4 linked regions of the Arabidopsis thaliana genome follow. The protein of the gene in region 2 interacts with the protein of the main gene of each other region in a pairwise test. Each region holds a gene or a part of one and is shown on either strand. Other genes may lie near its edges.

Evidence for each region.
Region 1: the proteins of SUT2 (region 2) and AT2G04050 interact in a protein complementation assay, tested with the Arabidopsis thaliana proteins (one large-scale study listed by BioGRID).
Region 3: the proteins of SUT2 (region 2) and MEMB12 interact in a protein complementation assay, tested with the Arabidopsis thaliana proteins (one large-scale study listed by BioGRID).
Region 4: the proteins of SUT2 (region 2) and NIP7;1 interact in a protein complementation assay, tested with the Arabidopsis thaliana proteins (one large-scale study listed by BioGRID).

What each region holds. Positions count from the first base shown.
Region 1 is NC_003071.7:1,336,404-1,341,989, forward strand, and holds AT2G04050 (MATE efflux family protein), read right to left. Parts: upstream 3,066-5,586; 5' UTR 2,868-3,065; coding exon 2,622-2,867; intron 2,531-2,621; coding exon 1,986-2,530; intron 1,891-1,985; coding exon 1,804-1,890; intron 1,719-1,803; coding exon 1,662-1,718; intron 1,586-1,661; coding exon 1,141-1,585; intron 1,034-1,140; coding exon 983-1,033; 3' UTR 777-982; downstream 1-776. Other genes in the region: DTX1 (MATE efflux family protein), read right to left, coding at 1-77.
Region 2 is NC_003071.7:827,098-834,506, forward strand, and holds SUT2 (sucrose transporter 2), read right to left. Parts: upstream 5,523-7,409; 5' UTR 5,200-5,522; coding exon 4,933-5,199; intron 4,425-4,932; coding exon 4,359-4,424; intron 4,212-4,358; coding exon 4,113-4,211; intron 4,012-4,112; coding exon 3,947-4,011; intron 3,854-3,946; coding exon 3,769-3,853; intron 3,677-3,768; coding exon 3,643-3,676; intron 3,534-3,642; coding exon 3,434-3,533; intron 3,329-3,433; coding exon 3,253-3,328; intron 2,970-3,252; coding exon 2,631-2,969; intron 2,503-2,630; coding exon 2,359-2,502; intron 2,262-2,358; coding exon 2,028-2,261; intron 1,937-2,027; coding exon 1,873-1,936; intron 1,777-1,872; coding exon 1,733-1,776; intron 1,617-1,732; coding exon 1,449-1,616; 3' UTR 1,182-1,448; downstream 1-1,181. Other genes in the region: ARPN (plantacyanin), read right to left, coding at 434-623. UniProt on the Arabidopsis thaliana protein: Responsible for the transport of sucrose into the cell, with the concomitant uptake of protons (symport system). Can also transport maltose at a lesser rate. May also transport biotin.
Region 3 is NC_003076.8:20,536,167-20,540,973, forward strand, and holds MEMB12 (membrin 12), read right to left. Parts: upstream 2,831-4,807; 5' UTR 2,690-2,830; intron 2,394-2,689; exon of another isoform or gene 2,365-2,393; 5' UTR 2,287-2,364; coding exon 2,060-2,286; intron 1,985-2,059; coding exon 1,714-1,984; intron 1,640-1,713; coding exon 1,478-1,639; 3' UTR 1,260-1,477; downstream 1-1,259. Other genes in the region: UBC33 (ubiquitin-conjugating enzyme 33), read right to left, coding at 85-141; AT5G50443 (uncharacterized protein), read left to right, coding at 4,371-4,576, 4,673-4,718. UniProt on the Arabidopsis thaliana protein: Involved in transport of proteins from the cis/medial-Golgi to the trans-Golgi network.
Region 4 is NC_003074.8:1,840,080-1,845,134, forward strand, and holds NIP7;1 (NOD26-like intrinsic protein 7;1), read right to left. Parts: upstream 3,118-5,055; 5' UTR 2,856-3,117; coding exon 2,715-2,855; intron 2,633-2,714; exon of another isoform or gene 2,539-2,632; coding exon 2,314-2,538; intron 2,217-2,313; exon of another isoform or gene 2,201-2,216; coding exon of another isoform or gene 2,078-2,200; coding exon 1,880-2,077; intron 1,673-1,879; coding exon 1,611-1,672; intron 1,511-1,610; coding exon 1,309-1,510; 3' UTR 1,089-1,308; downstream 1-1,088. Other genes in the region: AT3G06090 (uncharacterized protein), read left to right, coding at 694-933; MKP2 (MAPK phosphatase 2), read left to right, coding at 3,438-3,527, 3,639-3,774, 3,858-3,978, 4,342-4,498. UniProt on the Arabidopsis thaliana protein: Aquaporins facilitate the transport of water and small neutral solutes across cell membranes.

The sequences.
Region 1 (5,586 bases), 510 kb from region 2:
ACGGTTAATGGATTTGTATGCCATGTGACTTGAGAAGGGACTAGAAGCTCGTCTCTCAGAAGAAATGGCTCCTCCATTGTTTAACGTTGAAGGCCTTTCCCTTTGATTTTAAGATGATATTTATCCTATCTTTATAGACCGACTAAGTCAATAAACAACAAAGGCAACTTGAACTACAAACGTGGTGACGAAGTAGATATGATGAGTAAAGAAGCAAATTCGTTTTGACTTGTTTGAAAATATAGATACTAGTGGCACACGAATATACTATATTATAAAAATAGATATATAGAATATACATATTAAAAATGACATGTCATTAGTGTTAATACTTTTTAATTATTTACATAAGAACATATGTGAAGACTGAAGACTAATATGAATTATTTTGTTTTGTAGAGTTTGAACATTCAATCTTGTATTAATTACTTTTGTGGATTTTTATATTTTTATATAGTCCTAAAGTTTGACTCTAATTTAAGTAATTTGCTTACCTTAAGTTTTGATTCTTTAGACCACTTTAAAGACATTTGGATCTGATTTTACACAGGTTTTAGTAAATCATTTGTGGTTGAAACTAAAAGTGACAGCCGCTCTCAAGTAGAATCCAAAGTTTCGTCAGAGATTTGTCGTGAAGGTCCGAGTTTCAAAATCTGAATAGTATTGTATTATGAGCCTAAAAGCTCTCTCGGAAAGGGTTCACTAAGATTTATTGGTAGAAGATTGTGGTTATAGTCACAAATACCATAAAATAAATTTATTGGGAATGACATGTGAAAAAATTAAGAAAAGCATGTTTATGGATAAATGATGATTATACACTTACAAGTTACACAACATAGTGAAAAAGATAGGCTGAGAAAAAATCATACATATAAATTATTTTGTAAGAACATTTTTTAACACATTAATATACCATACATAAAAATTTGCTCAACACCTACAAAAATAGTTTGAGATAGCTCTCAGAAACATCCTTAGTTTAAGCCAATCTATTTTCACTAGAGACCATTCTCTTCCTAGCCTTCTCAGCCTGCAAATCATAGATTAAAATTACTTCATAGTATTAAAGAAAGAACAAAAAAGAATGTACAAGTATAACATGCTAAAATGACGAATCTTCTATTCTAAGTGTTTTACCTGTTCCTTCCAATTTATGGAAGCTGTGACAAAAGCCAATATTATGGCTTGCACAGCGGATCCGACCACAACACCACACCAAAGTCCTTTTCCGTTCAACTCACGATTGAAAGCTAAGTATACTCCAACAGGAGCTCCTACAAGATAATAAGCTACCACGTTGTTCAAAGCTCCAATGTGTTGCCAACCACTTCCCCTTGCAACCCCATTCAGAACTGCTGTGAAACCGTCGAGGATAAAGGAGAGGCAGAGCAAAGGAGTTAGGTTAGCCACATAGTCCACAACTTCTTTGCTGTTGCTGAATGCGTAGCCTATAATGTTTCGGCATGTGAAGAGAAGTGTGCTAAAGAAAGCTGACTCTACAAGCCAGAGACAAAGCCCTGCCAATACTGAAACCCTAGCAACTTGAGGAATCCCAGCTCCCAATTTGTTTGACACGCGTGTGCTGCAAGAAACCAAATGACTATTATTGTTTAGGAAGAAGATGTTGAATATGTTTGGTTAAAAATTTGAGTTCATACCTCACAGCCGCCGCGACTCCACCTGGAATCACATAGTGCAAACTTGCTGTTGTAAGACTTGCATTAAAGAAATAAGATTCATTAGTTTTTAGTAAAGAGGATAATAAAAATAAAAAGAAGTCGTTATATGATATATATTTACCAAATTGAAAGAACAGAGGTCTCGAGTTTCGGGTTTGGGAGAAGACCTGAACAGAGTATGAGTAGCTCAAATAGCCACCATTCTAGGCTATTAAAGGAAGACCAAGAAAACGCAAGCAAGATAAAAAAAAGCATTGGTTGTTGTATGTAACTTGACCAACAAGAAACTTAAAAACGACTTACCAAACCATTGCCGCTGATGGGACTCCGAAGTGGAAGAACTGCTTGATACAAGACACGAAATCACTGGATACAAATACGCGAGTCTTGTCGCAGGAGCTGGAGTACCTCACATAACATGAGAGAATCACAACATAGAACCAGAAAGACACACTAATAGCCATGGCAGCTCCATTGCTTCCCAGACCAAACGCGTAAACAAAAGCCCAGCAAACAGGGATGTGGAACAAAAGAGTGGTCAGGGTACAGTAGAGCAGTGGAAGAACCAACCCTTGTGCTAGCAGAAACCGAGTCAGTGGGATGAAAAACGCATGGGCGAACAAAGCCGGTATGAGCCACAAGGCATAGGAGCCAGCGACTCTAGAGATGTCAGGGTCTTGACCGAGAGAGATTAAGAGCTTTTCGATGTAAATCCAGAGAACTGATATGAGGACACATATAGGGATGTTAGAGGCAGTTGCAGAGTATGTGTAGGTTCCGATTTTTTCGTATTGTTTGGCTCCATAAGCTTGGCCACAAAGAGTTTCTAGTGCACCCGCTAACCCAAACTGCACAAAGAATTAATATAGTGTTATCAAGATTTGAGAGGCAACTTGATCTTGAACTTAAGAGGAGAGAGTAGTTATAGCATATCATTACCAAAATACTGAACCCGGAAACGTTTGTGAAGGAGGTTGCAAGAGCGACGCCGGAGAGCTGGAGCTCACCATTGTGGCCAGCGACCATGACTGAAATGACAGGCAATAAGTACTGAGCAATGGTCACGGCGGCCATAGGAGCGGCCAAGCTGCTCACTTTCTTCAGCTCGACGGTAACCTGACCACTTTTCCATGTGTCTTTACAGGGGACAAGGTGCTCATCTTGCAGAAGAAAGGGCTCTTCCATTGTTGTCCTTCCTAATGTTGAAAGCCGTGTGCGTATAATCTCTGATGTTATTCTTCTTATCTTTTATAGACAGACAACGAAAACCAATGTTTAGACTTTTCTTTTTGGAAATTTGTGGGACTAGAATATTGAATTTACACGACTCTTAGCTCAACCAGTAAAAGGTATTCTATATTTTCCACCGAAGATACTCAAAAAAGTATATTATTATGTCTACACGTTAAAGTATAAAAGTATAGTAGTTTTTCGCAATGACGTTGTATAGTTTCTTCTCTTTAGTGGACGTTGTGGTCAACAGTCATCCAATAGGATAATAAGGAAGTGCATGAACAAGAAATATACTTGGGGACCAAGTTCGTATAATCAATGACTAAACAACAAAACAACTCGAAAAAGATTACTTGGGAATCAAGTTCTAATATTCAGAGATTGACAATTTATCAAAAAAAATAATTTTGAACAAAAAGAATTTGTTTTAAATAGCAACTACACAGTGCAAACACGTGACTCACAACAACAGCATCCTTACCGTGAGCCATTAAAGTATTTGAGAGCAACTTCATCGCGAGTTTTTTTAACAAGGGTTCTCACAATTTCACAAAAGCGGCATTCTAAAGAGGGCAAAACCGCTGTTTGTTTGGATCCCCATTTCGAATTGGGCTGGGCAGCCTTTGGCCCACTAATAAATTTACCACGGCCTAAAGCTAATGCTAATGGGTAGGCCTATTTACCAATTTGGTCCAGGTCTGTTTTTCTTTCTTCCTTGTCAAACACTAGATATCTGATGGCAGGGTTATGGTTTTGAGATTGGTCGTGGACTCCTTTCTCTCATCACGTTGACACCTATAGATAGTCTAGACAAGGTGCTTTTATTAACCTTGGTGGTAGATCTTAGTGCCTTAAAGAGCAGCTCATACTATTCATATAAGTCTAAGAATTTTATGATAGAATCATCCTCTTTTATAGAGAGAACTTTTGAATCATCCTCTTTTATAGAACGAACTTTTGGTTTGTCTCCGACTTTAAGTTTGCAAAACCATTTGGATACCTTAATCACCTTTGTAGAAGCTGCGTGTTTCGAGCCATTGTTATCCAAGGTTAAAGACTCTTTATCAACGTCACTATGTCTCGTTTGGACCGTGACCATTCAACAATCTCCCAAAATATTCGTGTAATTGTCTTCGACTCACCATTCTCTCGCTTGTAGCAAGTTACTACATTGTTCTTGTCTTCGATGTATGGATCTACCGTCAAATTATCTTATATCATTTTCCTTTACCATTCTCTTGTGAGAGAACTTGTGGTTTTCTTTGATGTTTCCAACCATGAGGTTGATGTTTGTTTAAAATTTGTACTACATATGGGTTAAGTTTGAATGAAATTATCTTTTGCACAAAAAAAGGGTTTTGACCATTAAAAACTAAATATTAAAAAGTAAGAAAAGAGAGAGAGGTATAATTTAGTATTAGGTTCAAATTTGAGAGTCGGGTGAACCTTTAATACTTGTAGTTTTATTAGTGGGTCTAATTGTATTAAAAAATGCAATATAATTATAAATTTTTTTAATTATTAGTGGTCTAATGCTCTACAAGACTTTTTCATTCTAATATATATATATATATACTAGAAAGTTATCCAAACGATGCGTGAATTGTATATTTGGTTTTAGTTTTGAATATAGAATGATATTAACATTAAATTATATATAATATTTTTTTATAATTGTTAATATATCGATAGAAATTATTAGAAGTAATAATTTTGATGTTTACAAATTATGATATGTTTAATGAAGACATTTTACTTGATTAAAAGTTTTCAATGCACTATATTTTGGCTCTTTTTGTGTGAAATTGATATGTTTTATTATAAATTAAAACTTAATATATTCAATATTACCTTTTTTTTGGGGTGAAATGGAAATGCATGTATTACAAACATATGATTTAAACCTTCACAATTAAAATTTTTAAAGCTTATGATATAAGATGATTTTCAATGGAAAATCCTCCAACTTGACTAAAGATCTCATAATGTCGGTTCAAAAGAAAAAACAAGTTATATAAAATCTGATAAATGTACTGAAAACGTTATGTCGCTATCGAGTTACCAATTGACCAACAATACTTTATGTAAATGGAAGATAAAGAAATATTTTCTTTAAGAATTTAAAACAATAAAAAGAAATTGATTTTATATGGATATAATAAAATTAGGAATTTAAAGTTAAAATATCTTATTATTGAGTTATTTCCTTAAATTTGATTTGTATATAATAAAAAAAAAAGTTAAGAGCGGATAAAAAATTTGTCACTTTGAAGGTTTTTTACCGCATTTTTTTCTCAAAAGTTATGTTAAAACAATTAATATGTAGCATGTACAATACTACATGTGATACATGATTTTGAATTATAAAAGTAATATCTTTTCATAATGGTTATTTGCTTTCAACAGTTTAAGATTATTGTTAGAATTTTTGTTTATTTATTAGATATTTCAATGAATCTATTACACATGAGTTGCAATATGGATTAATTGGAAATATATATTATTATTTTTCATTATAGAAATAAATTGCGAAACACCTGTTATTATTAGAACTCCAAAGAGATAAACCAAAGAAATACAATTTTATCTTTGTTTGTTTAATTATTTATCATAAAATGTATTTAACTTCAATTGATGGAAAAAAAAAGTAGGGAAAATAATAACAGAAAAA
Region 2 (7,409 bases):
GTGGTACTATTTATGATATTTTAAAATATTTTTTGTTAAATTTAAACGCACATGAATTTTTGCTATACACATAAATCAGCGTTTGTGAATAATCGAAACTAGAAAAAAAATTTTGGAGAAGGAAGATGTATACATACATATCTATAATATAGTAAAATATATCACAGGCTCAATCATGTAAAAGATATACACTATTTAAACTGTGTATGCAAAACATTTATCAATCATATTTGTAACCTTTAAACTATAGGAAGTTTTTTATTTGTCGTGTGCTTTATACAAAAGCACATCTTGCCCATACTTAGAAGCAGCCATGATATGGATACATCCCTAGTGGATATGAAGATTAGAAAGCTTAACTGCTTGTGGTTTAAGTGTAACAAGATAGTATAATAATTACTGAAGCTTGATTAAAAGGATGTGAAGTATATACCAAGAACGTCGCCGGCTCTAAAGTGTTTGCCTTTAGGCCAACCCACAGCGTTAAAGGTCCAGATACCAGAGTCACCGACCGTGTACGTTGCAGCTTGAACGTAGTCAGCTTGAAGCAACAACACTGACACAGCCATGAGAGTCACTATGGCTCGAGCCGACCATGATGCACTGCCTCTTCCCTTGGCCATTGATCGATCTTAGGTGAAAGTTTAGAGAAAGAGAGAGAAACTATAGAGAGTAAATGAGGATGAATTGAAGAGTAAATGTACAAAGGGTTTTTAAAGAAGAAGAAAATAAGACATTCAATGTTTTTATTTTATTAAATTGGGTGTCTCAACAACCCATGATATATGTTCATTTATTATTTTTGGCCACATTGTCTATGTAGAAATTGATTATAGACTTAACTTCGGTTTCTTTTGTCTCATTATTGAAGATAAGAGTTTGGTTTTGACATTGTTACACTAAGTTGAATTTTGTTTCTTTGTTTTGAAAATGCTTATATCAACTAAATAAGGAACTTGTGGACAAAGACTATGTCATCAACAACCCACGATATATGAGCATTTATTATTTATGGACACATTGTTTCTATTGGAGATATAGTTTGGTTATGATTTTAGTACATAGTTTATAGGCGAAAATAGGTTTGAATTTGTGTTCTTATTGAAATGCTTTGTTATATTAGTATGGTAATGTTGGGAAAACGTACACATCATAGGTTAAAGAACCAACAGTATTGTGTTATTAGATTGGACTATTGAGTTTGGAATATGTTGCTTCAAGTTTCTATTTGTGAGGAAAGGAACACACAAATATAAAGTGATTCAAAATAACGAAGATATATTCTACGTGAGAAGAGAGGTACTGTAAATTTAGAGTCACATTGCTGTGTATAACATATAAGAAAACTAGATGTACAAAACCTACTTACATATACGCCGAGAGGAGAACGTGGTCAAAAAGAATCGGGTAGATCTAACTGTGAATTTTATGTCTGTGGTATAAAGATTTTAGCCGATGTGGAAACCGGTGGACTTGAAAGAACTCGATAGCGTGGGAAGCCTTTGCAATGCAATAACTCCAGCAGCGAAAGCAGCAACAGACGCCAAAACAAACGCCGGTAAGTTTCCTCCTCCAAACAATTGATCCCATGGACCCGCTCCAAGTGATACTATCATCTGTTTAGAGCCAAAACCATATTCAGACACTATTTACGGGTCAAGACTACACTCGAAGTGAGTGGCATTATACAAGAGAATGAAATTTATCAGTGTAATTAGATTTGAGAGATTGCCTGGGGAATAACGATTGCGAGATTCAACACTCCTATAGCCAAACCTGGAGTGAGGAAATGAAACCATTAGGGATTACTGAAATCTAAGATTTAAGTACAAAAACTATGAATATAGTGAAGATATGAATCTTTTCACAGACCTTGACCGCCACCGGAATCAGCAGTGACTTCTGCTGTGACAGAGAAAGGGACACTGTATGTGATCTGCATTAAAGAATGGTTTTATCACATATTTTAGAGAAATGTTGCAACACGAAAAGAATAAAGAGAATTACGGTTGAAAGAAAGCACATACAGCTAGGGGAAAACCAAGGAGTGCAAAAACGATTACGGCTGCGGTTCTTGTTGTTTCGTTTCCACGCATTATGTATTCAATTCCATTTTTGTCATCACTGAGAGACATCAAGCTGATTACAGCTGTTCCCGCCATGCAGGCAAATACAGTAAAATTGCTCAAAGCCCATACAACCCGAGCACCCATCCGCTGACACATTGGTTCAATGAGAAATGAGCTGATCCCAAGAACAACCTACGGAAACAGGGAAGAAGAATATTCAATAACGGGCGAGTAATTGAATTTTGAAGAGCAGTGCAGTTAAAAAACAGGTTATTATAACGATTCTTACAGAGTTTAGTAGCAAACCAAGTGCACCTTCACGTACACCTTGATCATAGAGTTCCATATGCAAACTATCTCCTGTTGGATCCCCATGGTAAACTTCTCTTCCCATCCAATCTGTATCGAACAGAAAGAAGGGGAACCAGGATAACTGCAAAGAACAAGACCACAATCAAAAATATAACAGAAGCAAATAATTTTAAAGATCATTAAAGAGTTTAAGAAAAGAAACAGTGTGAAATATGTAATAACTGATCATAATTTTTCTTTGGCACTCACCCATGTAAGAGCCATGACGATAAGAACTGAGTGCATAGCCGGTGGCAAATGCCTTAAACTAGTTAGCAAATTCACTAAAACAGATCCAGGGCCATCAACGTAGGTCTCATCTTGATGCTCATTCTCTGAATTGCCAAACTGTTCATCCGTATCACGTTCCACTCTCTCATACTTGATTCCATTGGCAGTACCATTATTTAATTTTGAATGCTCAAGGCCTTTGGACTGGAGATCATCCAACAAAGGTGCAGAATCTTGTATGCGGGTGGGCTTGTTGCTTGTAAAAGGAATCTCTTTAGCAAAATAGATTGTGACAAGAGTACATATAGTGAGAAAGACCTGAAAAAATGATTTAAACTCTTAAAACATATAGAACAATATATTCAGATTTTAGACTATGAAACAAGAACAAAAGCCACTGGGTGCAATAATATAATTTCACTTTCAAAATCACCTCAAAAATAATATAGACATACAAACAGAACGCATTGATTTGCGACATATATGAATCACAAGTCACAATGTACAAACGTGAGAGTGTTTCGTAAAGACCAGCCCATTCCATTGCAATTTAGAAAGCTTAGTAAGATGCATGTGTCAGAAAATTAAACATACTGCTTACCACTGCAAGAAGAAACGCTGCTTTGAGATTTCCACATGCAGCACAACATGCTCTACTAGTTAAAAAAGGGAACCATCTGCGCAGTAAAATTGCCTGATCATTTAACAGCTGGCGGAAAATGCAAAATTGCAAATGAGGAAAAAGAATACAAGATTTTGAGAATAAGGATCTCAAAGATTACTCTTGCCATTTTCCGCTAGCACCGGCAGAAAACCCAAGGATGTTCCCAATAGCCATCCACAAGCAGAACACAGCATTTGCAGTATTCCGCTGATCAGGACCTAGGGACAGCAAGAGACATCTCATTAGAAGCACAGCATATTCAATCTGATTCTAGAGTTTGAATAGAAATTCTGTTCTGTTAAGTGTATGGTTATATTCCATTATTACCTGATAGATCAGCTAGAAGAGCACGAGCAGGTCCCTGAAAATAAAAAAGCCGAAAACATCATTCCTGGATACAGAGGTAATGACTAGTACCATTCACTCAAGTACATTGCAGAGGCAGATCTGAACCTGTACTGTATTGTTTGCTAGATCCAACAACCAAAACCCAATGATAAAGACAACAGCTGCCCTGGTTCGTGTGCCTTTGAAAGTACTGCATTTCAAGATACACATCAAGTCGTCAGTTACTTTAATTTTGATACATTCCATAAAAAACATGCCATTGGCAGGGGAGCAGGAGAGTTACCTGCAATGTTCCTTTGAATCTCCTAACAGATACCCAATGTCTGCAGAAAATCCGATTATTATCACCTAAATTGCAAGCTTTTGTTTAGCTTATATAAAACACAATGTAGCCAGCTATCTCCTAAAAGAAAATCAAAACAGAAATCATATCTTCTATTGGCACTTACTGCTATTGAGATCATGAATGATCCAACTAGAATAAATGGTCGTCTTCTTCCATACTTTGAAGTACATTTATCACTCCAAATGCCAACAAAAGGCTGGACCTAAAACCCAACAAACAAATAAGTATGAACAAAATGGGGCAGAAAAATAGTTTCTGATCCAATATAAATCAAAACTTGAACTCTCGTGAGATCATTACGTGCAAGATAGTAAAACTGCTAAAATTCTTAAAGAAACTTTTAACCTACCACAAGGCCTGTAATTGGGCCGCACAGCCAAATAAACGAAGAAAAAGCATGCGATATTCCAAGGGTCTGCATCAACCAACCAAATGCAACACTGTTAGATAAAACTCAAAAGGGTTCTTCAGCAACAAGAAAATCAAAATACTTCCAGCAAACAGATATTTAACAATAGTTCTATCTACCACCATAACTACCCACCTGATACATATATGACCAGTACAATACTATTCTAAACACAGTCTAATCTCTGATTATACAATAGTTCCGAAAAAGGCTAAGGTCTTTTATATTTTTACAAATGCTTATGTAATCCAATGAACATAAACAATCTAGCTAAATTCCAATGTCATATACTCTTCGATAAGCCAATGCTATAGAGTTCCATACGAAAATATCTCATGGCTATGTTGGTGACAACAACTACCTAACCTAAGTATTAGAATTCATTGATTCACCTACAAAGTACTCGACTTTCTCGTACAAAGCTACACAAGAACAAAACCCTCGAATCTAAATTGCTATAGAGAAAGCCACAAGTGATAGAAATGGTAACAATGACAAGAGTAATAGTAAGTACCTGAATATAAGGAGTAAGAAGAGAAAGTTGCAATGCCCAACCAAATTGAACTCCAGCGGCAACTGTACAACTAAGAACCAACGTCACTAAACTACAATTCTTCGACACAGATTCACCATCAGCCGAATCAGAATGATTCGAAGGAGAAGCAGATTCAGAGAACGACGAAGAACCAGATTCGTTTTGACGATGCTTGGTGACCGTCTCAAGTTCAATTTCCTTCCTCAAATTCCTATACGGAACCGAGATCGACACCGAGTCACTCATCGTCCTCAACACACAGATCCCTAATTCGTATCAAAATCAATTTCTCATTCCGATTTAGATTTCTAGGGTTTTGATCTCGTCGATCTAGATTCGGAGACGATGATCGGAGAGTCAAATTCGGGCGGGTGAATATTTTGATGAAATCGATTTTTTTGAGGTGATTGAGAGAGAAGACGCGGAAGTGAAGAAGGAAGGAAGATTCGTTTTACAGGGAACCGTTGATTTGTAGATTAACGGATGAGATTAAAACCTAACTTAATAGTCAACGTTTTCGTCTCGGGCTTTGTGTAATCAGCACCGTTGGATTTGATCGGATCAAAACCGTTGCTTCAATTTAAAGGAAGAGCGGACGAAACTCACCGTCACCGACACCAAACAAAAAGTGTGTGCTTTTAAAAAAGTAAAACGGTGTCGTTTGATAAGAGTTGAGAGTGGGCCTGTAGTTTTTTGTAGCTCGGCCCATTTTTGTAAGAAATTCACAACTGTGGTACATTTAGCCCAAATATTAAGTCTATTAGAAGAAAGCTGTCTCATTTTTTGTTAGCATACACACCTAAAACCTATAAAACATGTGTCAAGATTATATGATTCATAGCTATGTCCCTTCTTCTATTTTCTGATGCCTTACACTGCGAACACTGTGATTAGTGATTACATTGGTTCAAGTTTGACTTCATGAAATATGTTTGGTTCAAGTTTGCTTCTAATGCTACCATTCAAATCCAAACTCTCACAATTGCATATTATTAAAGAAAAAAGGATAAGACGTCTCAAAGAAATTTTTTTATATAAAATCATATAGGGTATGTTCTTATTAACGTATATATGAACATGTGTTACTAATTTAAAAACAAAATCATTTTGTAAATTTGTGTTTTACAACAAATATTTTGTGGGAGATTTTAGGTGCTAGCAATAATAAGTAATGTTAATTAAGAGAGTTATAAACATTTTTTCACTATTTAATAGTGTTTTTTTCTTCTTACCAATGTCACTATTTACAAGTATATGTATTTTCTAATAACTAATGTAAACATGTTTGTAAAAAGATTATATAACATATATGTGTGTGATTGTGAAGGTGATAGAGTTCTTCTTACCAATGTCACTATTACAAGTATATGTATTTTCTAATAACTAATGTAAACATGTTTGTAAAAAGATGATATAACATATATGTGTGTTAACGTGATAGAGCCGGATTAAACGAATAAAAGGAAGAAAGTTAGAAATAAAAAGGAGGAAAAAGGAAAAAGACGTGTGCCTAACAAATGTATCATGTATTGGTACAAAAATGCAAAGATGATACATAATTATTAATATTATTCTTGCTTGTGGAAAATGAAAGCTAATAGGGCACACAATTGAATTAATACTTACGTCTCTCTTTCTCCATCTCTTCCCTTGTCCCTCTCTTCTCCTTTCCTTATCCACGTGTACATGACTCTTATGTCCCATCTTTTTTTTCTTTTTCTTATCATCAAAAGTTCAAAAACAAATCCTTTTGAGTTTAGTTGTTATGGTGTGCATGCATGTATGATGTATCCGAACCAAAGTATAGTCGAAAATCCAAATTTTGTATTCTTTAATGGTTAATGGTTAATTGAGAAGTTATAGCCGAGTCTCATACACTTGTTGTCCATCAAAACTGATACCATTCTCAATAGTATTTGAACCAGAAAACCACTATTACTCACTTTTGTAAAAGAACTATACATACGCGCCGTTAGACCAAATATCACTTATTACAAAACAAATTTTTTATCTATACCATGTTATAATTTTACATAAGAAAAAATAAAATAAAAAATCGGATTATTCCATTCAAAAAAGCATTTACATAAAATTCAAGCCTATATAGGCAATTTGGTAGCATTGACTCGGTTTCTCCACAAAAAAATGAACCTTATTACACCTTTGGTTTTATCTTATTTGAGATTGATGATTTGATCATGTGCCAATTTTTATTTTTATTTTGTTATAAAAAAGATCAAGGTTAATAAGTTGATTGAAAAACAGTAATAAGTTTTTTTAGTTTAATCATGTAATTACATTTGACAAAAAGCACGTGTTGAACGCGGCTATGACCCAAATAAAAGAGAAAAAAACATATGTACCATAACTTAACACGTCATCTCCTTAACGTCGAGCACGTCAAATGCTTACGCCTGAAAATAACTCCTTCGTCATTTCTCAAACGACAAATTCAA
Region 3 (4,807 bases), on a different chromosome or scaffold from region 2:
AAAAAAAAATGAAAATCGAATGGGTAGAATGATACCAGTGACAGACAAATCAAGGATGGGAACAGAATAAGAAGAAAATAATACCTTGCAAAGCGCTCTGTATTCTTTTTGAAGACGCTTTATACAAGCTTTTTCTGCCATCTAAATGCTTCAGGGAGTTCCAATAAACTGTAGTTCCTGTCAACCAAAACAACGAATTGTAAACTGTAGAAAATATAATCCAACCTTTAAGTATGAAATGAATGACAGTAACATAAACCAAATTAAGGTCATCTTCGATAAAGAAACCATCCTGCTTAAGTCATACATCTGGAAAACTGACATGAACAAGCATGTATAATCTACTCCATGACATTGCCGTATAGTTAAGCTATTACTACAATCTCAAGTCACATATAGAGAAGCAACACTTCTTAAAGTATCTGTTCTAAATACAAATTGACAAATTGATACACACACACAAAAAAAGATCACCGTTCAACAAAATTGCCTAAACCCATGAAATTGTGATGAAAACAAAAAAAAAAACTTAAAATTCCAATTAAACAAAACAAACATACACACAAATATTTTGCAATCAGATAAAATTCCAAAACATATCAAAGAATATTCCCTAAAGATCCCTATTGATTTTGAGTCAATCAAGTTAATGAAATCTAAGAAAATCAGAAGAAAGAAAGAAAATAATCGGCGTACCAGTTTGATCAAAGTTTCGTTATTGGATGACCAAGTATAAATCAAAAACACAGGGAAGTGAAATCGTGACAAGGTAAGAGCAGATCCAAGGAAAGAATTGTGAAAATCGGAATCGATCAGGAGCTGGAGCTAATTTGAGATTCTCTTTCTCCGTGTGTGTTTCTCGTTGATTGATGATCAAATCATTCGTTTCTCATATTTCGACGCGGTACAGAGACAAGGAGAGAGGAAAGAGAGAGTGTCGAAATATCAAAAGGAGATTGGTTTTCCTTTAACCGGATCAAAATTATTCCAGTTGAGTCGGTTCTGTATTTAATTATAATTATCCTATCCCGGTTCGGTATTTGTCATAATCAGACCTTTGGGGAATTGACTATTTTGGTCAAAAAAAAACATTGACCATTAATACAATGATGCTAAAGTCAACTGTTTCGAATCACTTTAAATATGAACTGTCTTGAAGCTCATGTTAGTCGCCGAAGCAATGACCCAAACAAATGTAGTAGCTTCTGTGTTAAACAACGATTGCAGTCTCGGAGAAGTTTTGAACAAGTTCTCTTACACTGCGAGCAATACATCATTCTCGGATATAGGAGGAACACATCAAAAGTTGGGGAAGAAAAGTTGGCATAAATCGAGAGCATACTAGACGCAAATGAAATGGAGAATATGTGTACTAGTGTTTTGAAAATGTCTTGTAAGAGGTATAAACAAAACAAAAAAACGTGTTACAAAACTCTCTCCATACAATCTATGGTAATGTAATTAAAGTTCTCTGGTTCTAGCGTGTCCATCTTATGAAGAGATACAATATGACAAGCGTTGCGATCATACCCGCATATTTAATCCAGGTATCAACACGATTACGCCTCTCAATGAGCCTCAATACAGAGTTAGAGAGCCCAACAGTGTTCAGAACATCCAAAGCCTTCCTCTGCGCACTCTGAGAATTCAAAAACCCAATGTTAAAAAACTGTTTTCTTCATTGACTTAAAGCTTAAGTTAGGGTTTGGTTACCTTCAAACGATCCCTTTGTTCAGCATATTTAGAGAGAATAGCAACTCCACTTTGAAACGAATCTTCAAGCATTCTCTTTGAATTCTTAACAGAGTTCATTCCTTGAGCCTCCTCATCAAATATTTGCAAAATGTGAGCTCCTTCTCCACTCCCTCTACCTAACAAATCCGCTCTCTCTTTAGCTTCCAACATCTTCCTCTGATTCCTCCACATGTACTTCTCTAGACTTTGGTTCAAATACTCAGCCTCTTCTCCTACTTGTTCACTCTTCCTACAGCAAAAAAAATCCAAATGCTCAAGAGTTTAACCACTACTTCAGCTATTTTGATGATCTAAACTTCCTCACCTTCTCCAAAGATCACGCTGGGATTTGACAGGGATCGAACGCCAGAGACCGTCCATATTGGAACAAAGAGATTGAACCTCGGTAATGTCTCGTTTCACGGAGGAGGCGAGGTCGGTAGGATCAGAGTCGAACCTCTCCAACTTCTCGATTCCATTCCGAGCTCTTAGTAGAATCCTTTTTGCACTACTATATACCTCAGACAACCCTCCCACTGTCCCAGACGCCATTATACAAACCACAAAGTGACCAAGAACACCGCAGAATCTTCTTCTCTTTGCTGAATTATATCAATATCAACTTCTAATCTGGAACATATATACAAAAACATATTTAAACCAGTTTACTCAAGAATTAATAGTAATCTACATGACATTGACCTATAATTTGGCTCTTAAGTAAAACTTGAATCAAAAGTTAAGCACCTTTCAACAAGATTTGCATAAAACTTAAAATCTAATCCAGACAAATCACTCGATCACGAACCAGCAATTCGATCAAAATCCTAGAAATTATGTTAAGAAAACATCTAATCGGCAATTCATTTGATTCGATCGACTGAAACCAAGAAATTCAACAAAATCGCATTGAGAGAAATCTAAGAAAAGCTTTAGAAAAAATTTATCCGTGTACCAGTTCAATGGAGGCTTGCTTGGGTTTGGAATTTGAATTTGTTACACAAAGCAATTCGTGACCAGATCCGAGGAAAGTTTGTGAAAATCGGATGAGAAATTCTGCGAGGGATTAAAAAAGAATAGCAAGGAGTTGGTTTACTTAAACCGGGAACAAATCCCAATTAAGCAGACGCGCTTGGCTGGTTCTGTTTACAATTCGGTTTTGTAAACAAACACAAGAAATGTAACAAATTAATCAAAGAAAAAAAATGTTCTAAAAATCACGATATTTTTTTTGTTTCTAGTAATCACAATGGTTTCTCCCTTTTCATAAATGGCAAATCTCCCATAAAACCATCTTTTGTATTTTCTATTTTTTCATGGTTATTTTCCTTTATAAAAAAAAAGGGATATCATATGTACATTGTATGGTTTTTAGTATTCTCATAAAATAAAATGTCTTTTGAATTTAAAAGAAAAGAAAAACACTAAATATGAGTTCAGATTTATGAGCTAATTCTAAAAACACTAAAAAATCCGGCCGGTAATTTGAGTTCAAAAACACTAAAAACACTAAATATGAGCTCAGAAAAGAAAAACAATTCGACCGGTAATTTGAACAAAAATAAATAAATCCGAACGATAAAAAATTAAGGAATTGCTAATTAGCCTCTACGGGATCATTGGGGGATTGACACTATCATGGTCAAAGATTGATCAAACAAGCTGTCCATATAATGGTTTGATTAACATAGTTATTACTCCAGCAAGATTTAGCTTAAATACGATTTTTAGGTGTGTATATTTTAAAGTTCTTTTGTTTACATCATAACGTTCTCATAAAAAGTGGATATAAAAAAAAAAGTATATATATATATATATATATATATATATATAAGTTTCACTTTTTCAAAATTGTGCCAGTTGTAAAAGAAACGCAGCCCATGCTAATGAAAAAGTTCCAAGGTATAGTAGTAGTAGCTTCACCTAAAACAATTTGACAAAGATATATTCTTTTTATTATTTATTAGTTTCCGATTTTAATGCAAATAATTATTGAAAATTTGTATTAGTTTACATTGTTAAAAATATGTTTGATTAGAAGAAGATCTTAAATTTTATAAAACTTTCTCTAGTACGTAAAACTCAAACTCTCAAATATATGAAAATTTTGTTTTGCAATTTTCCCATGCAAGTGACTCAAGTCCCAAATATTTGACTGTCTTCTTCTCGCTCGTCCAGTCGTCCCTATAAAGCTTGTTAGGAAAACAAAAATAAAAATGAATGAAAATAATGTTGATGCCTTAGCAATTAGCATAGAGACAAAACACAGCCTGTTAATGTTTTACCTGCAACTTTTGAGATCTCATGAAGTTGGATTTACTAATATTGGTAAACACATAAATAAACGTGTATACATGTGCTTGTATGAAAGTGAGGACACTCTCAACATCAGTGAATGTTCCATAAATTAGTTGATTAAGATAAAAAAAATATCTCAGCATCTGAAATAAATGATTCGGAGAAGAAAAATTAATTCACGTGATCAGATCTCAAAAAAAGTCGCAGGACAATACATACATATCTTACAAAGCCAACAAGCTTTACAAGTTGTCTTTCTCTATCTCCTTCTCTTTAAGACTTTAACTCATCATATTTCTACCTAAAAGTTTTCTCAAGACCTAAAAGAGAATTCACAAATGAAGAGATTCCATCCATCAAGATCGATCTCAATAGCTCTGTTTCTGGTTTTGTTAGCTTTCTTTAGCAGCAAGTTTCACATAGAGGGACATAGAGATTTGAGAGATTTGCAAATAAGCAAAGAGATGAAGCAGAAGTCTCTTGGAGGTGAAGGAGATAGCTTACGGAAAATCCCGAGGAGTCGCTATAGCCCCATACAGAACAAGTAAGTACACGATCAAATATTTTCCAATCTTTTCACACACAAAAAAAACTAAATTATTTGAGATTTTGACATCAAGATTGTGTATTTTTGTACCAGGAGAGGTCCAAGTAGGAAACATCAGATCACATCACATGAACCATAGATTTCATCTCTAGTTTTTTATTTAGATCTTCTGATTTTTTGTATTTTTTTTTTGTTGTAGAATAGTATTGCCTACACTTGTTTGTGAAT
Region 4 (5,055 bases), on a different chromosome or scaffold from region 2:
AAATACTTTGCTTAATCAAAAATTTCTGTTAACTTTTTTCTTCTTGTATTGACTTGCTTGAACTTTAAAAGTAGTGACAACGTAGCAAACGGATCTCGTTGTTCAGCTTTGATTTGATCAATTAAAGTGCTTGCAATTGCGTTTGAGTTTTGCATTACGAAATCAACAACTTTAAAGGTTTGCTTTAGAATTTGCGATTTTGACAAAAAAGATTATAATATACAATCTTCTGGTACTTTTCAAAAGGAAAATTTAGAACACTTTTACTCAAGTCTCAAGTTAGTGAGTATCCTCGCATCTAAATGATTTAGTTTCTTCTAATGATCGAACAATTTCTCGAGAGCACCATCTAAATCTGAATACATTTAGTTGGAATGAATCATATTTGATCTAAAACACATGGTTTAAATTTCTGCAAGACCGCAACCAGACTCAGACATATCATGATTTAATGAAATTTACTTTAATTCTTAAATTAGAAGTTCTGAAATAGCATTAAATACAAAGTAGCAACCTAAACCTTACTATTCGTAGACTGTTTACTCACTCAGTCAATAAACATTTGAACCGTTTAACTAATTATGCATTAGCTCTCATAGAACAAAAGACCAAAAATCTATAAACATGCATATATACACGAATACGAATCAATGTTGAGAATCTATAGTTTAAGTAGTAGTCGACACTAAGAACATGAAGATGAAGAAGCTTCTTAAAGTTGTGTTTCTCTTGGTCGCTTACTTAACTTGTTCCATTGCCATGGCTAGTTACCATGGTTGTAACAGGGTTGCAGAGAAGGCAACGAGAATGAATGTAGTCGGAGAAGATTCAAGAAATGAGTTTGGAAACTACGAGGAGAAGAAGAAGAAGGCGAATTTGTGGTCAGGTCGAAAGTTAGCTTCTGGTCCAAGTCGTAGAGGTTGTGGCCACTAAATTTTTAGTTGGGGTAATAATTTAAGATATTTAATTTCATTTCTCTAATTTATGTTTGTTGGTATCGTTTAGTAATATGAGTATTTTAGTGGGTTCTTATAACCTAATGAAAGGATTTGAATATTCATACGAATTTCGCTTCACTATAAAATATATGTGACTAAAGATTTTTAATTGCGTTCATTTCATTGTGTAAAAAGAACAAAATGCCCCCTGTTTTCATTTGCTTTACCCTCTATATCTTCAATCCGATAAGTAGCTCTCTGTTTTCGCATCACGGCATCTAATGACGTAATGACAAAAACTTAAAAACCTTAACCAAGAAAAAAAATCAAAAGTGTTTATTTGTATAATAGATATTAGGTTTTGAAGTGATTAACGTAAAAGTGAAGAAACGGAAGGGGAAACTGGAGAAGGGCAAGGCCTGGTTTTTAGGCTAATTGATCTGTATGTCAAAACTCCGATTATGGCTCCGATCACCGGAGCTGTCATGTAAATCCATAAGTCTTCAAAATCCCATGCCACCACCGCCGGTCCAAGTGATCGAGCTGGGTTCATCGATCCTCCTGAAATCGGTCTAACCATACCATATTCCACAAAACGTTAGCATTATACGATCACATGAAATAACTATTTTCCAATACTTTACGGTGATAATGGAGTTTTAAGTTAAGTACCCGGTAATAAGCACTCCAAGGGAAATGACTGTTCCAATCACGAACCCCGTCAAATTACCCAACTGCACAAAATAACATATAAAATTAAATGCATATAAGTTTTCTAATCAGAGAGTTTGATTTTTTTTATTTTCTCTTTGGAAAGAAATAAAATTTCATAATTAAGAAATAGCATGTAAATGTCACATTTTAGGTGTTATTCTTATTAGAAGATATTTTTTTATAACAAGCGGACTAGAGGAGTAACGAAGATCGATTTGGTCACTTACATTTTGATGAGGACCACAATGCAACGCGGAGGCGAGAAACACGACGATGCTCGTAGCTATGAGTTCAACGAAAAATGCAGAAACGCAGCTTAAAGCAGGTTTTGTTGCCATAATGTCAGCGTTTACTCCGTACACTGACACCCCAACTAATGTTGCCGCCGTTGCCCCCAATGTTTGCGCCGTTATATACAACGGAACCTGGCATGTGACACAACATTCCAAAAAAGAATTTTCAGTTTTCATAAAAAATAATTTGTAAACGTCCAAACAAAAGATTAAGTTTTCTCGTCTCATCTTCGTTGATAAATGAAAAAAACACATTATTTGATCTTGGTCTAAACGCTAAGATAAACAAAAACAAACGATCAAGACCAAGATAATTCAACTACAATTCTTAGTTGGTCAAACGCCGTGTTGAGATGGATGCATTATACCTGAGACCACGGGAATCCGCCAAAGACAGCGAAAGCAATGGTGATGGAAGGGTTAAGATGGGCGCCAGAGATGTGTCCGATGGAGTAAACTACGACCACCACAGATAATCCAGCGGTGACGGCGTACTCTAGCAATCCCACGTGGCCGCCGGATAATTGGGTACTGCTTATGACCCCACACACACTGAACATTAGAATGAATGTCCCCACCAATTCCGCCATTACCTAAACATTAGTCCGGAGATACTATTAATTAGCATTTTATTTCTATACAAACATTTTAATATTTTCAAAAAAATTATTTGTAATTATGGACATAGCCAATTCTTTAGTTTAACACAAAAGTATTGTGAGATATTAATCTTGTTGATTCTATGATTTTGTGTATATATGAAGCTTACAATGCGTAGGGGATTGAGATCTATATCATAAGGGAGACATCCGAAAAGCCTTTGTCTCGAGGGATGATCTTCATCTCTCAAAGTAGATGGAGTTGAGCCAGCTTCTTGGTCGACTACTCTTGACCGTGCCTCACCATTCATCTTCTTAATTCCTTCAAGATATAGTGATCAAGAACTGAGGAAAGTCACAATCAAGGTGGCTTGATCCGCTTTATGAATGATCTAATGGAACAAAAAAAGAGAGATAGAGAGAAAAACGCAAAGAAGATGGAAATTAAAGAGTAATTATTTTATTTCAACAAAAAGAAGAATTAGTAGAGTGCTGCTATATTCCTTTGGTTAAGCAGTCTGAAAGGAGAAGAGGGTGCTCAACACTTTTCTTGTGTTCAATTTTCACTTCCTACCTACCAATATTTCTTAATGTTAATTTGGTGATTTCTAAGTCATCTATTTATTTTAATCATCTTCATTTCATGTGTAAAAAGGTTGACTCTCTTAAATCTTTTCACTTAAAAAAACAAACAAATTGTTGCACCAGCCGGGAATCGAACCCGGGTCTGTACCGTGGCAGGGTTCTATTCTACCACTAGACCACTGGTGCTTATTGATTCATCTATCCGAACTAAACTATTAAATATTAATTACGAATCTAGGGTTATTTATCTTTCTGATTAAGAGTTTTCGTCTGTACAAGTGGAATTTTGAAAAAAGAAGCAGAGAGCGATGGAGAAAGTGGTTGATCTCTTCGGAGTCGGAGAAGCTAATTCCCAGAAGCTACTCGAAGGAGGCAAAGATCTCAGCGAGATCCAACAGGTTTTCTTCGTTTCTCTTCTCTATCTATCCGTCTAATTTCACACTTGGAATTTCTCAGGTTTTGGAGTCTTTAATTCCGAAAAATCGTTTGTTGGATGAGTTTATTCTCAGGGATTGTTCATAGGATCAGTAGCTGAAGCGAATAACAAGGATTTTCTCAAAAGCTCTAATATCACTCATGTCTTAACCGTTGCTGTGGCCTTGGCTCCTCCTTATCCTGATGATTTTGTCTACAAAGTCATTGAAGGTTGGGTTTTTTTTCTTCAATCCTTAGCCTGTTTTTGAAATTTTTCGTTTAGAGATTTTATAAACTTGTTCTTCATCGTGTAGTGGTTGATAGATCCGAGACCGATTTGACAGTATATTTCGATGAGTGTTATAGCTTCATCGACCAAGCTATTCAATCTGGTGGTGGTGTTTTGGTTCATTGCTTCATGGGAATGTCTAGGAGGTTTTGATTCTTTTGCCCTTAAATCTCATACATTCAGTTATTAGATTTAGTGTTTAAGAATCATCAATGTGAACCAATTGCAAATTATGTAACCATATCAAAAAAGTGTATATAAATTGCCAACTGAGTAACCATAGGAAACTACAGAGACTCAGATTGGCAAAAGTGTATATGAATCTTGTAGTTTGCTTTGATTCTTTTATAGCTTGCTGATTCTGGTATTAGTAGGAGTTATGGTAGTGAACAGATTACATTTTGTTGTGGACAAATTAAGAGTTTTTCTTGAACCTGTAATTTGCTTATTGTGTCGTTCTGTTATATATATACTTACACAATTTGATTGGTTTGAGTTTTTCTTTGAAGTGTGACTATAGTGGTGGCTTACCTGATGAAAAAGCATGGAATGGGATTCTCTAAAGCTATGGAACTTGTAAGGAGCCGACGACATCAGGCATATCCTAATCCCGGTTTCATTTCGCAGCTCCAGCAATTTGAAAAATCCATCCAAGGTAATGCATGATTGCTTCAGCTGATAAGAAGATTCAAGATAGTGGCATGATGAACTCTCATGAAATTCCGGCAAGTGTCTTCAGCCCCATGTTGGCCAAAAAAGTTGATTGGTTTCGTGCTGTGAAGGATTTTTTCTTGTGAACTATTGATGGTGAGCACTTTGCCATGTCCATTAGCCAATTGAAATGAATGAAAACGCAGAATTTACATTTCCTCTGTTACTACAATGAATATATTTTCTAGGAGGATCAGTGTGAATTTAACCAAACCAATCCCATACCCAAACCAGACTGAAAATTGGTTGGTTTGGTTTTCGACCCTTGCATTGAATGTTAACCGATATCTTGATCGAACGTGAGTTTTTTTTTTTTTTTTTCTTGTTTCATTGCCTTGTCGATCAATATTGTATATAACGTGATAGACCATGAACAAATTGAATATCGAAGTAGGAGTTAGATTTCTTTACTCGTAATTAAATGGGGCATGCACCTTGCATGTCTTATACGTATTGTAGCCTAACATTTGCGGCTACAAACATTTGTCACCAACATTTTCATTCCAGCTGCT